Ovis aries: one gene and its partner. The protein of the gene in region 2 interacts with the protein of the main gene of each other region in a biochemical or structural test. Links are inferred from orthologs where the notes say so. Each region holds a gene or a part of one and is shown on either strand. Other genes may lie near its edges.

Region 1 (3,814 bases), on a different chromosome or scaffold from region 2:
GCGGCCGCCACCCCCAGCACCCGGAGGACCAGCCCTGACTTGGCCCAGGGACACAGATCTCAGGCTTCGGGCCTCGAGACGTGTGAGGCAGTGACATCTGTGTTCTTTCAGGCACTCGGCTTGCTGCCACTTGTCCAGCAGCCACAGAAAGGTCACCGTGTCATGACCCACCGCAGCCCTTGGGCCGACGCCAGGCGACCTCGTAGACCAGGCGTGGGGAGGGGGTGGGCGGTGCCAGCCCCTCTGGTGGTGCTGCTGCTGCCCAGATTTGGACGTGGCACACACACAAGGGTGCATCTGAAGCCCTTCCAGAAAGTTCTGGTCAGAAGGAGTGTGCGTGCGTGCCCGGTCATTTAGTCCTGTCTGACCCTTGAGACCCCATGGGCTGTAGCCCACCAGTCTCTTCTGTCTGTGGGATTCTCCAGGCAAGAACACTGGAGTGGGTTGCCATTTCCTCCTCCAGGGCATCTTTCTGACCCAGGGATCGAGCCCGAGTCTTCTGCAGTGCAGGCAGATTCATTACCACTGAGCCACCTGGGAAGCCCCTAGCCAGAAAGGAACGCCCATCCTCACAAATGGGGGAACCCGGGCAGCCTCAGTGGCTCCAGGCTCCAGCCCACGGGGCTCCGATGAAGAAGCCTCGAGGCCCTGGGGGGTGGGGCCCAGGCAGCGGAAGCGGAAGCGCCTCATTCCAGGAACCACGTGAGCCAGGCATCCCCCAACGGGGTGGGGAGGCTGGAGGGGCTTCCCTGATAGAAACCATGTGCCCTCCCGCGCAGCACAGTCTAAACAATCCGGCCGTGAAGGGCCTGCTGAGGGCTCTCTCGGGAGGCCTATGACAGTGGGGCACCGAGGTCGGCAGGGCAGATGGGACCGGCGTGCAGAAGGAGGACCTGGGGCCGCGGGAGAAGTGGCTTCCAGGGCACATGGCCAGTCAGGGGAAAGGGGTGGAAGGCGCCAGCGCCCAGACGCCCCCAAAGTCACCGGCACACCGAAGCCCCAGGGGGCCAGCCCACACAGCATTCCCGCCTCCACCCAGGAGCACTGACCAGAAGCCCAGCACTCGGGGCGCCCAGAGGCCACGTGCCCAAGCCCAGCACACCCTCCAGGCATCGCACATCCATCCCGTCCACCGGATGACCGCAGCCACGAGCAGAGCTAGTCTGTACCAGAGACCGGCTCACCCGAGCGATACACCCAGCAGCAAGCAAGCCAGAGCCTGGGGCCAGGCTCCAGTCCTCAGGGACCCTGCTCCATGCCCTTCCAGCCCACGGGTGGGAGGCCAGGCTTAATGGCGGGGGTCCGGGCAGCTGCACTGAGCCGGGCAGAAGGCATGGGGAGGACCGACCAGTCCCGGGCTGAAGCCCCGGAGGCCGGGCTTTCTCTGGTCACTAGCGGGAGCCCCCCCGAGCCCCCAAGGGGCCCAGGGCAGGCCCGGTGGAGTAGGCCAGGGCCTCGGAGGCAGGTGCCGGGTCATACCTAATAAGCTGGGGGCAAAGGTTACCTGCACCGGAGATGCAGGGCTAGGCCTGGAGGAAGGGGTTCCCCGGGGGGAGGAGCTTGAACTCCAGCCGGCTCCATCCTACCTCTGGCAGGTACTTAAATTCTCTGAGCCTTATTCCCACAAAAAGACAAAACAGGCCTCATTCAGCAGCAGTTTCACGAGCTCTGGCCCCTTGCCAGAGAGGGCGGAGCCTCCAGGCAGGGACCTGAGGCTCCACCAGAGCAGACAGGTGTCCCTGGTCTGGGGGAAGGAGCCCAACAAGCCAGCCCCAGAGGGGGACCCAGGCCAATCCGCCAGGAGTGGCCACAGGAGGGCAGAGCCCCTGCCGGCCAGCCCACCGGCCTGTCCCCGAAATTGCCCGCCTGTTCTGCATTCCTGGAGTGCGCAGAAGGCAGACTTGTTTCCTCCCAGACAGTGTCCTCACTGGGCAAGAGTAAAACCCGGCAGACCGCCGTCGACCCCTGACGTTTCCTTCAGGGCTTCTGCTCAACCGTGAGGCCTGCGCCGCAACCTGGCTCCCCATTGGGACTGGAGAGGCCGTCAGGTGGGGTCGGGCCACAGACCAGAGGGACTGTCAAGGGTCAAACCAGGGCGGGGGTCACTGCACACATGAGGCAACACGGCAGGGCAGCCAGCGTGGGGGTCTGAGAGAGGCTGCAGCCTGGGGCGCCCCGTCACGGGGGACAAGGAAGCGGGGTGTCCTGAGACTGCAGGCAAGACAGGACCCCCGTGCTCTGAGACTGGGGAGGTCGGGGTCAAGCAGCTACGGGCAAGGCAGGGCCCTGTTCCTGACCGCAGCCGGTCACAGGGGGACAGTCCAACGGCGAGGATGGACAGCGAACCACCACACTCGCCACGCCGTGACCCCCAAGGGTCAGGGCGCCGAGCCCCCATGATGGGGGCACAAGGTGGTCGAGAGGGAAAGGGCTCCCCGAGGAAGGGACGCTTTCCAAGGCTGAAGCCGAAGGAGGAACAGTGGAAACCACACGAGCAAGGGCCCTGGGGCAGGGGTGGGCAGGGCGTCCAGGCCACGTGAGGCAGGGACAGAACGGAGGGGAGAGGCCAGGGGGACCCCAGGGCCGCCCTGAACCCACACGGAGACACAGACGACGCTGAGACTCAGTATTGCCCACAGGCCTGGCTGCACGATGGGCCAGAGGTAACAGGAAGCTGGAAGGGAGTCAAAGTCCTGGGCTGTGAACCCAACAACCGAAAACTCGCCCACCTGACTGGCAGCAGAGCTTCATGGAGGTGCAGGGGCATGGGGGGGTGGTGATAGGGTCCCCCTCCAGGCGGGGGGTGATGAGGGGGTCCCCTTCCTAGGCACGCTCCCAGGTGGGGGGGGTGATGAGGGGGTCCCCCTCCAGGCGGGGGTGTGATGATGGGGAGCCCCTCCCAGGCAATGCTCCCAGGCAGGGGGGGTGATGGGGGTCCACCTCCAGGTGGGGGGTGATGGGGGGTCCCCTTCCTAGGCACACTCCCAGGTGGGGGGTGATGAGGGGGGTCCCCCTCCAGGTGGAGGTGTGATGACGGGGAGCCCCTCCCAGGCAATGCTCCCAGGTAGGGGGGGTGATGGGGGTCCCCCTCCAGGCAGGGGGTGATGGGGGTCCCCCTCCAGGTGGGGGGTGATGAGGGGGTCCCCTTCCTAGGCACGCTCCCAGGTGGGGGGTGATGAGGGGGTCCCCCTCCAGGCGGGGGTGTGATGACGGGGACCCCCTCCCAGGCGCGCTCCCAGGGCCTCCATCCCCAGAGCAGAGCAGACGGACGTGGGCGGGGGTGCTCACCGAGCTGGGGCTCAGCCCCACGTTCGCCTCCACGTAGGCCTCGGTCTTGGGCTCGACCGCCAGCTCGGCCTCCAGGATCTTCTCCACCGGCATGTCCTCGTTGGCGCTGCTGGTCGACTCCACCTCGCTCTCGCCCCGGTCCTTGCCTCGCTGCCGCTCCTCCTGCACGGCTGAGGCGGGGTGAAGGGGTCACGGTCAGCCCGCAGCTCCCGCGGCAGCCTCCGCCCCCGGGGCCCAAGCAGCATGCCCGCCCGCCAGCCAGGGCCAGGGAGAGCGAGGGTGCTCGGGGCCGGCCAGAGCGCGGCCCCGTCTCTGCCCCAAGCCCGGCCTCCCGCTCCCGGGGGGCTGTGTGTTCTGAGAACAGAGCGTGCCGCCTCTCACTAATTCATTCAACCCCGGTTCACACCAGGACCACCCAGGGCCAGGGAGGACAGCGCCCCACTCTCAAGAAGTGAACAGCTCAGCAGGGATCCCAAGGTGGAGTGAGAAGCCCTTTCATGGGCTTTCATGGGTTATGGACGCAGGC
Region 2 (3,814 bases):
AAATGTCTGGCTTAATAGCGGTAACTGTTTCTGCATTATCTAATATATTGTTTAAATAGAAATACATGCAGAAAACCCAGCCACATATGGGTATGTACTTGGAAAAGGGAGACCTTTTATCACCTGAAGAAGCTTCAGACTACACTGTGAGAACTGCTATTGTATAATCAAAACAAAACACGCAAACCTGACTGTTCTCACTGGATGTGAGAACAATACCACAGAGTATTACTGACTCAGTTATCTCTCTATGATGTAGCAATTGAATGACAACAACAGCTAGTTCTTTACACCTTCATGGCGCAAATTGTGTTAGTTCTCTGATGGCGAACACCATGCTTTATAACTACACTGTTAAAAAAGAGATTAAAGGTACCTCTCACAGGTCTGGTCCAAGAGTAGGGCAAAGCTTGATTTCTTCAATAGCAGAGACTCAGTTAAAAGTTCCTGATTTACTAAGCATATGCATCCTTAAAGATATGGTTATCATTCATTAAATACTTACTCCACATTAGGTACCATGATAGGAGATCTATGTATATTGTTAAAATCCTTCGTACAGATAAGGGATCTAAGGTTCAGAGAGGCCAAACAACTTATCCAAAGTCACAAAGACACTAAACTGAATATGCGTCCAAGACACTACTTTTCCCTTGCACTCTTCTGTAACATGTTTCTCAGAAGCCATAAATAAACAAGTTTGGGAAAGTTGTATCCTTCTTAGAAGATTTAAAACGTCAATCTCACTTTAAACGACAATTTATAGAGCTATATATGACACCTCTGAAAAGTCCTACAGTAAAGGATACTGTCTTACAAATTCCTCACAAACAGGAGGTGTTTTTGTTTTTGCTGATTCAGATTTACCTAAACTATATTCACTTATGTGCGTACAGTTACATATTTTCTTAATTTTACCTATGTCTACATCATGTGGACTATGTTTTAAGTGATATGCTTATAAGTACATATAAGTCAACATGACTGTTACTGTGGATATAAAGCTGTGATAGATTCTCTGTATAGCTATATATGTGGTGGAGGGTAGAGTAGGGTAAGAGATAGTTATATACATGCTTTGTATTAAGATGCTTCTTTTTAGTTATATAGATGAGAATATGTATGATACCAGCTGCTGGCTATGTTTATCAATCAATAAATACGTACTTCTAAACTGTGCTGAGGAGTCACCTTATCATTTCTTCAAAGGGTCACATTACCATTCTTACTGTTCTCACATATGGATGAGATTTATGTAAGCCTATTTCTTCCCTTCTTGGAGTGTTCTGAGAGCACTGGCTCTCCTTCCAGCCAGTTCTTTCTTACCCAGAATCTAGCTTAGAGAATGAGAGAGCAACCCTATTTGATGATTTTGAAACAAAGTCAATAAGCCCCAAAACTGCCAAAAGGTGGTTAATGAAGAATGTATATGAAATTCTTATTTTTGTTTCTATAATTTCCCTGTGAGAAATTAAGAAAGGAGGCAAAAATTGAAGATTTTTTTTACTAGTACATAATGTAACAAGGACTGCCTGCAGGGATATGTGATGTTACCAAATGATACTGAAATTCCCCCTTTTTGATAACTCTAGTACTTCAAATTTGGGCAGTTATCTATATGCATGATACACTTCAATTAGGAGGTTAAAAATTATTTAATTATTACATAAAAGGAAAAACAAAAACAAAACACACAGAGAGAATTCCTCCCTACCAAGAAAAAGCAAATAAATGAGCCATTAGTACCTGACAACTGGGTCTCAAGAGTGAGTAAGCCAAGAATTGTATGAGAAATACTGTTTTAACAGAAAACATTCTAAAAAGTACTATATTAATGGCAGACACATGTAAAGAGTTTTAACAACTATTCTGATAAATATGTCACTAACAGCACAACTTGCTTGAGGAAGAAAAACAACTCCTAAATCCAGAAATCTAGACACTGAGTCAATAAAAGGATGTTTCATATCACCCACATATTTATATGTGTGTTTATATTCATGCATGTGTCACAAATATACACACACTAATGAAATACCAGGAAAAATCCATCTCTTTAAAACAAGATAATAAAAATATTTAGGGGGTAGAAGGGAATACATTTTCAACAATCTCATAATCATTAAGAGTTCCAGAAACAAATGGCACTTTGAGAAAATCTACATAACAGCCTACCTAAATTGATTATATTTTGAGCCCAGAAGCTAGGATCACAGTGAAACTGGATGGTATTGTTGGTCACTGGGGAAGCATCACACCTTGCTCGAAGGAGGTGCCGTAACCGGTACGTAATCTAGAAGAAAGCAGAGACAACTGAGCATCCAAGTCTTTATTAGGCAAATAATTTATCAAGTTCCCAACAAATACATAAAAAATGCTCTCTATGACATATATGCCAACACAAAACAAGTGTTCATAAGTAAGTTATAAAAAGTGGACAAACACAGTTTTTCTTCAAAAATGCGTTAGAGGTTTAAGTACAATTAGTTTTACTGTTGAACACAAAACAAACCTTTCCTAAAGTGACAGGTTAAAGTTAGTTCACTGAATTACAGAAGTTTCACAGATGTACCAACCACATATTTATAAAGTAAACTCACACACTGCTTTTATTTTACTCTTTCAAAGAAGGATTCAAAGTAGAGATTAGGGGGCTAATGGATTACAAAAAATACAAATGAATCTCTGCTCAGGACATTAAGTGCAGCCTTGACCAGGCCTGCTAGTAGGATGGCCCTTCTTGCTCCTGTGCTGTGAATCTCAGTCATCACACCACCTCCCACCCTCCTCCACACTGCAGTCCTCAGTGAATGCTCAGTCATTCTCTCAGTCTTTGAAGAGTTCAGCTCTTGGCTCATAATCACCATCTCCAATATTATTCCTGCCATAATCCTAGATGGGCCACAGAACTGGAAAAGCTCAGTTTTCCTTCCAATTGTAAAGAAAGGCAATGCCAAAGAATGTTCAAACTACCAGACAACTGTGCTCATTTCACATGCTAGCAAGGTAATGCTCAAAATCCTTCAAGCTAGACTTCAACAGTACATGAACCGAGAACTTCCAGATGTACAAGCTGGATTTAGAAAAGGCAGAGGAAACAGAGGTCAAATTGCCAACATCTGCTGGATCATAAAAAAAGCAAGGGAATTTCAAAAATAACATCTACTGCTGCTTCACTGACTCTGCTAAAGTCTTTGAACTGTGGAAAATTCTTAAGGCGATGGGAATACCAGACCACCTTACGTTTCTCCTGAGAAACCTGTATGCAGGATAAGAAACAATAGTTCCAACCAGTCATGGAACAACTGACTGGTTCAAAATTGGGAAAGGAGTATATCAAGGCTGTATATTGTCACCCTGCTTATTTAACTTCTATGCAGAGTACATCATGAGAAATGCTGGACTGGAGGAATCACAAGTTTGAATCAAGACTGCTAGGAAAAATATCAACAACCTCAGATAAGCAGATAATACCACTCTAATGGCAGAATGTGAAGAGGAACTAAAGAGTCTCTTGATGAAGGTGAAAGAGTGAAAAAGCTGGCTTAAAACTTAACATTCAAAAAACTATGATCATGGCATTTGGTCCCATTACTTCATGGCAAATAGAAGACGAAAAAGTGGAAATGGTGGCAGACTTTATTTTCTTGTCTCCAAAATCACTGTGGACAGTGACTGCAGCCACGAAATTAAAAGACGCTTGCTCCTTGGAAGAAAAGCTATGACAAACCTAGATCACATATTAAAAAACAGAGACGTCACTTTGCCAACAAAGGTCCATATAGTCAAAGTTATGGTTTTCCAGTAGTCAAGT

The links.
Region 1: the proteins of TRIM24 (region 2) and RXRA form a complex in vitro, tested with the Homo sapiens proteins (3 studies listed by BioGRID). The link is inferred for Ovis aries from reciprocal best matches to the Homo sapiens genes TRIM24 and RXRA.

Annotation. Positions count from the first base shown.
Region 1 is NC_056056.1:1,860,792-1,864,605, forward strand, and holds part of RXRA (retinoic acid receptor RXR-alpha), read right to left. Parts: intron 3,459-3,814; coding exon 3,289-3,458; intron 1-3,288. UniProt on the Homo sapiens protein: Receptor for retinoic acid that acts as a transcription factor.
Region 2 is NC_056057.1:103,687,169-103,690,982, reverse strand, and holds part of TRIM24 (transcription intermediary factor 1-alpha), read right to left. Parts: intron 2,294-3,814; coding exon 2,176-2,293; intron 1-2,175. UniProt on the Homo sapiens protein: Transcriptional coactivator that interacts with numerous nuclear receptors and coactivators and modulates the transcription of target genes.